2 linked regions of the Oryzias latipes genome follow. Each later gene encodes a partner of the first gene's protein in a complex. Links are inferred from orthologs where the notes say so. Each region holds a gene or a part of one and is shown in the gene's direction. Other genes may lie near its edges.

Region 1 (4,267 bases):
CCGTGTGCGTGAGGATGAGAAGGTGAAATTTTGAATCGTTTCTCTTTCCGAAAAAATGATTCTGTGTAAGGAAAGAGGATGCCACGACAAGCTACTCCCTACTTCTCAGGTCGTTTCCCTCAATTCTTTGCTCTTCCTCTCTCTGCTGAGTGCTGCTGATGAGAAGAGGCAAATCCAGATGTGACAGGAGGGAGGGGAGCGCTTCTAGACGGATGCGTCATTACGCATTCAGGAGAAAAAGCAAGGACAAGGACGCACCCTATGGATACAAATCAGTACTGCATTCTGTTTTGTTTGAATTATTTTTCACTTAACTGGTTACACAAATGATCTAAAAATAGACTATTTTTTATTAGGATATTTTTTAAACAATCATATCAGGGGAATTACAACAAAACGAGGTTTCACTGTCATTTTCTAACGGACTGTTGTGTCTTGAAGGAGATCTGTCAACACTAAGCCCTGATGTCCCTTCATAGTTTTTCTTTATGCATAGTTTTTGTAAATTCCACACCAATCAGACTTATTAACTGAAGTGAATTTGGAGGTTCAATCTACAGTGTTAATGGTCATTAATGAATAAAGTGGGACATTTAATGGGGGATTAGTAACTTCTTTTTAAATTCACATTGGTTTCTTTGTTGTTTTTCATTTATTTTGTCGTTACAATTTACTTTTTATGTCAGAATATTTAATAAATATGCACTGCTAGATTATAGATACTTTATTAACTTTCCTTCTGCTTGCAGTTAAACTATTATGTCAAGGTTGTTTGATCTGAATATGGCTGATAATTTAAATAAAAAAAATAAGAAACACGTTAGCTAAAAGTTTCATCTTTGCACTAAAAATAGCTTTTAATCCATGGTTTGGTAAAGGTTTACTAATATAAACCAAAAATGTGTTAAAGTTAGCAGATGTAGAATAGAATAGAGAGAAAAGAATAGAATAATAGAAATCTAAATAAAACACAAAAAAAAGCAAGTAAAACTTCAAACTAGAAAAACCTCAAAGATTCTGCTCTCCGAAAAAAGTAATTTATGCATAAAGCCTTTGCTGGTGGCAAAGGCTTTATGCATAAAATGAATAAATAAAAAAATAAAATAATAAATAAATAAATAAATAAATAACAAAATAAATCAATAAATAAATACATAAATAAATGTAAGTTCGTCAGTTGCCTAAATATGTAATACACCTACACGAATTAGACATTTTTAAGCAATTTAGATTTTTTCTAAATACGTAATTCATGCTAAGCACTGTAAACGAGTAGACATACCCCCCCCCCACACACACACACACTTTTTTTAAACTACATTTTAAAAATTACAAAAAATTCTGGTATGACTATCTGCACTAGCTGCCTTTACTAAAATGTTAGTCTTGAGGGGGCAAAACTGAACCACTGTGCAAGATGAACTTTTAGTTAAAAAGTTTCCGACACACCGTGAATGCACCATTTAACGCAATGGCGTGGTCACGTGTTGCTCAGATGCGGAAGTGTAAACTGTTTTGCTAAATAAAAAGCTACAGCTATCACCGACAGTCTAGATTGTAATTATTCTTTTAATGAAACTCAACTGTAAATCAAACCAATGGTCAGGTAAGAGGCTAGGTTGTATGACGACGTGGTAATAACGGGTGATGTTCTCAGTTTTTGTGTCGCTCTTTTCCTAATCTAATAATTAGTTTATTTCTTTTTAGGATCATCATGTACTTGCAAATGGTGTTCACAAGGTTTCAGCTAGCCCTACAAAACACCCAAAAAAATAACGCGACGTGTTTGGCAATAAACGGTTGTTGCAACATCATTTCAGCGCCGCTGACTGTCATGTGAGAGTCAAATGAGGATTTATGAATTTTATTTTTTCTTTCAACGAGATGTTAAAAAAAGTCAAATTCCATTTTAGTCCTAAAAAGAATAAAGGCCGTTCACCTGGAACTAGTATAAAGGTTTTGTCCAGGTTATATTTAACATACATTTCTTTGTTAACTCAACTTTAATTGTTTTTATTTAAATTGTTAATATTTCTTTGTGCTAATAAGAGGCCTTAATGCATTCTTTCCTTTGTATCCTAAATTTTACTATTGAATATATAAAGTTAGTTGAAATAGAATAGAATAGAATAGTATAGAGCAACTAACAGTGCTATGGTGTTGCTGTTGTTTTGCAGGATGACACACAGACACTGCCTGGAAGCCCAGGTGTACTCGGTCCCTCTGGTGCAGCCGGACCTGAGGCGGGAAGAGGCTGTCAATCAGATCGCTGATGCACTTCTGTATCTAGAGGCAATTTCCACCGACATTTTTAGAAGGCAAGCCAAAAAACTAACTTAAAAAAAGGGGAAAATCTTTCAAAAGTATGTCAGTTTTGCATACTAATGGACACTAACTTCCCAAAAATTGGTTTTTAATTTCAAAAGTGACTCATTACCGTTACAATATTTGCTGCCACCAACATTGATAGTATTTATAAAAGCAGTACTGAGTGATAAAGCTCTTAAAAAAACAACAACTGTCTGTTGACCTGTTTATTTATTTTTTACCTTGGGTCAAGACATAACTTGAGTTAATGTTTTTGTTATATAATGTCCAAAACAACACATCAATTATTACAATGCATTTTTTTGTCTAACATAAATGGCTAAACCCTTTTAGCACTTAAACAATAATTGGTAAGGATTTCAAATAACTGCATAACCTTCATGCTGGTCCTGCTTGTAGGGTTTCAGAGAGCGTGGAGAAAAACCGCCACCAGCTGCAGAGCGTCTCTGACCGGATCCGACTCGCTCAAGCCAGGGTTGATAAGATTAAAGGCAGTAAGAAGGCCACCAAGGTAACAAAGCCTCATCTTTTTAGATGAAAACTTCTACATTGGAACCATGGTGTGTGACAATTGCAGAAGCAGGTCAAATTGTGTTGCAGGTCTTCTCCAGTGCCAAGTACCCGGCCCCAGAACAGCTCCAGGAATATACATCCATCTTTGCAGGGGCGGCAGACCCTTCCTCACAAAGCTGCTCCAGGCGCAGGATTCAGAGTAAACTTCGGCCTTTTGATGAGAAGGTTCTGCAGGTGAGATGAATGCACAAAAATGTAGATTTCGGTTCAGGTTTTGGCATCTTCTCCCATCATGTGACTGATAAATAGCATCTGCAGTTTCAAGTTACAAGCGTTGCATTGATTTTTGTGGTGCTGCATTCAGAGAAGCAGTCTAACTCACTTAAACTCCGCTGTATCCTGCTGGTTGGAGATTTCCCGTTGTGTTTTTCGCCAGCATGCTTCATGCTATCGTTGGCAAAGAGCAGATCTCACTGTCTCCAGCCGCTGCTGTAACTCTGGCATCTGGAGGGATGTGCGTTTAAGATAAGCCTGAGGGAGAATACCTAATGAGTTTTGAGTAACCATCAAAAGAATCAAAAGTCCTGGTTCCAAGAACGTCAAGTTGTCTTTCCCACATTGAACAAAGCCTGTTTCATCTTCAGGAAGACTTTAAATGCTCTCCATTCAGATACTTGAGGAGGCATTAGCCTCGTTTCCACTGAGCGGTACGACACGGTTTGGAATGGTTTATTCAATTCAGGTGAGTGTTTCCACTCAAAGTTGGACCGTCACGGTGCATTCTGGGTGTAGATTGCCTGCATTGCTTTGCGTCATAGTAGTACGACTACTGCAAAAGCGAAGCTATCAACAACAACAATGGAGTTCATCCAGCATATACAAAGAATTTAACGCTGTTTGACAAAAGATTCCGTTTGGAAACATTGGCGCTGGTTTGGCGCTCTCTTTTATCATAACGACCTTCTGCCAATCAACGAGTTTCTTCGTTTGATGATGGTAGCTCCGCCCTAACCGTTCTATTTCATTTCTGTATGGACCTACAACCCACGGGGTCCCAAAAATTACGGTTCTGTACGGTTTAATGGATCCGTTTTAAAATGGAAATGCTCAACGAGGCTTTAGTGTTCAGCGAGGTCCGTCAAATACTAACAATGTGCAAAATTGAATCAGAACGTAAAAAGAGAGATGTTGGAACCCAACAGGTGTGTACTTGCTTTTTTATAGCAAACAGAAGCTGGTAATAATTCCTACATTTACTTTCAACTTAACTCCTCGAGATTCTTGAATCCCTTTAAACCCTAAATCAGTCTTTTTTTTTTAAAACATTAATGGACACATTTTTTGTTTTTCAACTAGAACGAACTTGTTGATATTGAAAATTATCAGGATATAAAACCTATTTACACTTTAAGATCCACTAGTCTGT
Region 2 (4,188 bases), on another chromosome or scaffold:
AGGAATGGCCTCTGTCACAGTAGACACAAAGTCCTGCAGCTTGTCGTAATTTAACACATCTTTATGCTTTGCAAGATGCCACACAGCAGCAGACAAAAGCTGGAGAGGGGGAACCAAGAGACGCAGGGATGACAGAGGCAAGCTGGGGTCTGAAAAAGAAAGGTGTGATGCAAAATATTGCCTATAGAGGGCAGTAATTAGCCTGTTTTTAGGCATGTTCATGCTACTACTAGAGGTGAAAAACCCCCACTCAAAAGTAGCATTACCTTACAAATAAAAAAATGATGTGCTGAATTTTAAATTTAAGATATTAAATTGTCTAAAAAAGAATTTTCTTAACCTTAACAAATGCTAAATTGGCGATGTGCCTTTCATGATCTGTTATGAAATTGAAATAAATGCTGGATTTACATCTATGTTAACGATTTAACATGGGAATATATTGACTGAAACGATTAAAATTCAACAACAATAAAAAGTACAACTGGTCTGTAAACGTAATGTATCACATAACAGAAAAAAACTACCTGTGATTTCATCAACATTAACAGTTAGCCAGTTTATACTCCACACCATTCCTTAAGTTAGTCGGGTCCCAAAGAGTATTTTCAAAGCATAAACGTGATTTACGACTACATTTATTAATCTGAATACACTTACGATTAGTTTGCTTCTTTGACCCAAAAACGTCCATTTGCATAGTCCAGCGTTAAAAGTCTGAAAATAACAGTAACTGTAAAAAAATATTTTTTATTGGTTTTTCTAGCTAACATGCGCTGTTGGGACGCAAACATCGTTTCCTCCAATGTTTTTGAGGGTTCCGCTTTCAAAATAAGAGTTTTCAGATTCAAAATCGAAAACATTGTTATGTAGTTTATGCATATTCGCAAATAAACACGAATATTTCAGTATGTATATTTTTTTATTTAAGATGGTATTGTTTTAAATGTATTATCAATAGATTATGTGCACAAGTTAAATGCCCAAAAACTAAGACGTTTCACCGCAGTGATAAAGTTGGTTGTTGACTAAACTTTATAGTATTTTAAACCAGATGTGAAATAACAGTGCTATAAAATGGAATTAGGGTTTTAAGTGTTGATATTTATTATTTAATCAATTTTAAACTTCAGATCCAATTTAATTCAATTTAATTCAATTCAATTTTATTTGTGTAGCCAAAATTCAAAACAACAGTCGTCTCAATGGGCTTTTCTACTCATTGACCTGAAAATATCCTTGTAGTTTTATTTAAATCCTCTCCATTCTTCTTGTAATTCTTTTTATTTAATTTTTTGTTTATTTTTCTATTTAGACACATTTTTTTAAAGTTTTCAAAATAAAAGCTGAAGTGTTAGGCCATTGGTGCAATATAGCGGAAGTGACAAGAGGAATAGGACGCGCTATGACGTAATTACGCAAGTCACATGAAACCTTCACTACAAACCTTTTTAATGTGCTGTTTTCTTTATTTACACCCCATGTAGACAGATTATAAACGATACTGGACGTTTGCGCGGAGTTTTAACGACCCAGCATGGACGAGGACGGTTTGCCAATCGTGGGGTCTGGAGTTGACCTCACGAAGGTTTGTGTTTTTTTTAGCTAACAGTCATGGTTCGCTTGTAGATCTCCGTGGGAATGAAAGAAGTAGCTGAAAGATTAGTCAAGTAAGACTTTATGGGATAATAAACATGATTTTAATCACATTATAATAGGATTCAATCAATATTCCCAACGATTTTGTATTTGCAGAATTATTTTTCGTGTTTTCTTTTACTTTAAAATGCATGTTTTTGTAAAGGCTGGCACTAAGCATGACTCTAAATTTCTCCAGAATCTGATAGGACTCGCTCTCATGTGTCATCGTTTTCCTGATTAAATGACTTTAAACTCCCTTCTAGGTTCCAGCTATACAGCAGAGACGAATTGTTGCCTATCTCAATCAGTTTGTTGTCCACACAGTTCGATTCCTGAACCGATTTTCCACAGTTTGTGAAGAGGTTTGTGCATCTTTTACATCGTTAAAGACCCACTTTGATGGAAATCCTGTATTTAACGTGTTTCTTGTGGGATTCATCTCAATATACTTAAGGGAATTAAGCTTACAATTGCATTTTTGAGTATTATTTAATTCAAATTGTTGTAAATCGGGAGCAGACGAAAAAATGCAGTTTGAAAAAGATTGTATTTGTGATGTAGAAAATGCGGCGGATGGGTCACAAGCTTCCTGCTCCTCTCCATGCTGATGCATCCATTTGTTGCAGACAAATAGATCCATGTATGTCTCTGTTTTCCCCGTCTGAACTGGAATCTGGCTCTAAACTGTACGGCTGGATAGCTCCAAAATTGCTCGCCATTTTTGTTGTCCTCTTAATGTCAGTTTACGGGTGTTTGAGGGGCTGTAAGCTTGGGGAGAGCATGTAAACAGATGGATGATAGGAAGTAGGGGCGGGCTTACTCTGCACCAACTGTCGAACAACAGTTTTTTTTTTGTTTTTTTTTACATTTTTGCCTAAAAAACAACATTAACATAGTTAAAAGACCAATGGAAACACATTCAATATAGATCAAAAGTTGATGATTGGGACTTTAAACTCGATTGACTTTGAATTTATCAGTGTCAAAATGTGTGAAGCCCTCATGGTGGGAACTCGATCAATCCAAAATATCAACATTTCCCCCACAGAAACTTGCAAACATATCCCTTCGCATCCAGCAGATTGATACCACCTTGTGCATTTTGGAGGCTAAGGTGAGCTGTCACACCCTTTTCAAATTGTCATGGATGTCATTTCTTTTTTTAACAAATGTTTTTGTTGTTGTTTTTTGTCTTTGTGGAGCAGTTGGCCTCCATTCCCGGGCTGGAGGAGGTCACAGTAGATGGACTGAACCAGCAGCACAGTGTGCAGACAAATGGGCCCACTCCAACCAGTCAAATCCAAACAGATGGGTCTTCAGTGGGAGCAGTTCCTTCCTCAGTGGTGAGTGTTCAGACTTGTTATAAAAAAGACACAAATATCCCAACCCCCCCTTCCCCCACAGTTTTTCACAAATTTATAGATTCAAACCTGATACATAAGGATTATGGTACATTCATATTGTGAAAGGTCGACCGATGATTTACCTTTTTACTATAGTTTTTTTTAATATATAATTATCTCTATTGATTTTCTTATTTTATTTTATGACAAACATGAAAATAATCCTAAAATAGCTTTACAAAATTTTTGTGTAATGTAGAATTCCTATGGGGTCAAATCCAGATCAACCTAAAGTGAAGGAAAAAACACAAAAAATAAAATTTAAAACTGTTTTAAACTCAAAAACAGATGTGAAAGAAATGTTGTAAATGTGAAAAGTATAATTGTAACTTTGAAAAAAAAAAAAAGATTTTAAACTTGAGAGGAATATAGAAAATTTGAAAAATAATTTTTTAAGTTGAAACTTAAAATTAAAAAGAAAAACTATAAACTTATAACTGTTACCAAATGAAAATTAACATATATTTGTAACAGCTGCTGTTTTGTATTGATGTACCAAACTTTGGGAGAGAATTATCACTACTGTTCGCCACATCAGAGGAGGGATGACACAGGCGGCGCCAACAACTACCGCTGTTGTGGAGCGGAAATGACATCATCATACCCTTTATGACCTGATGTCAATCATGTCCAGGTAGCCAATGGGCTCAAAGCCCCAGATAACAGTCAGAATTCTGAATTGATGACAAGTTTAGGTTTATGTTAAGTTGAGAATGTACTTTTATTTACTTATTTATTTTTTAAAATTTAATTTAATTAAAATAACCAAAGTGTACTTTTGAATTTAAAACTGTTCACTAATTTTCTCAATTGTTTTTAATTTTACTTTGTGGTTTTTCATTCCCTTCAAGCTGATCTCGATTTGACCCACATATTTCTCTTTTGTAGTTTTGAAATTTCCAATCTTGCTTTATTTACACAACAAATAAGGAACCAGTTAGTAATATAGACTGAATAGCAGGGATCTGGTTGCCTGTGTGCGTTACAGAAACATTCTGAGCATCTGTTTAGTGTACAGATATTATTTTCGCCATATTCATCAGGATTATAGTTTCCTTTAAAGCTGCTTTTCAACGTTTCTTCATGCTTCAGCCTCAGGAGGCACGACAAGAAGCTCCTGAGCAAAAAGCAGCAGCCGTTGCAG

What was found. Proteins that work in one complex are often made in the same cells at the same time.
Region 2: washc1 (region 1) and washc3 share a complex: the UniProt entries of both Homo sapiens proteins name them as parts of the WASH core complex. The link is inferred for Oryzias latipes from reciprocal best matches to the Homo sapiens genes WASHC1 and WASHC3.

What each region holds. Positions count from the first base shown.
Region 1 is NC_019864.2:19,195,983-19,200,249, forward strand, and holds the start of washc1 (WASH complex subunit 1), read left to right. Parts: upstream 1-1,467; 5' UTR 1,468-1,598; coding exon 1,599-1,606; intron 1,607-2,177; coding exon 2,178-2,318; intron 2,319-2,727; coding exon 2,728-2,839; intron 2,840-2,928; coding exon 2,929-3,075; intron 3,076-4,267. UniProt on the Homo sapiens protein: Acts as a component of the WASH core complex that functions as a nucleation-promoting factor (NPF) at the surface of endosomes, where it recruits and activates the Arp2/3 complex to induce actin polymerization, playing a key role in the fission of tubules that serve as transport intermediates during endosome sorting.
Region 2 is NC_019881.2:17,520,987-17,525,174, forward strand, and holds the start of washc3 (WASH complex subunit 3), read left to right. Parts: upstream 1-1,388; 5' UTR 1,389-1,537; coding exon 1,538-1,588; intron 1,589-1,904; coding exon 1,905-2,003; intron 2,004-2,689; coding exon 2,690-2,755; intron 2,756-2,846; coding exon 2,847-2,984; intron 2,985-4,136; coding exon 4,137-4,188. Other genes in the region: zinc finger protein 252, read right to left, coding at 1-149, 661-700. UniProt on the Homo sapiens protein: Acts as a component of the WASH core complex that functions as a nucleation-promoting factor (NPF) at the surface of endosomes, where it recruits and activates the Arp2/3 complex to induce actin polymerization, playing a key role in the fission of tubules that serve as transport intermediates during endosome sorting.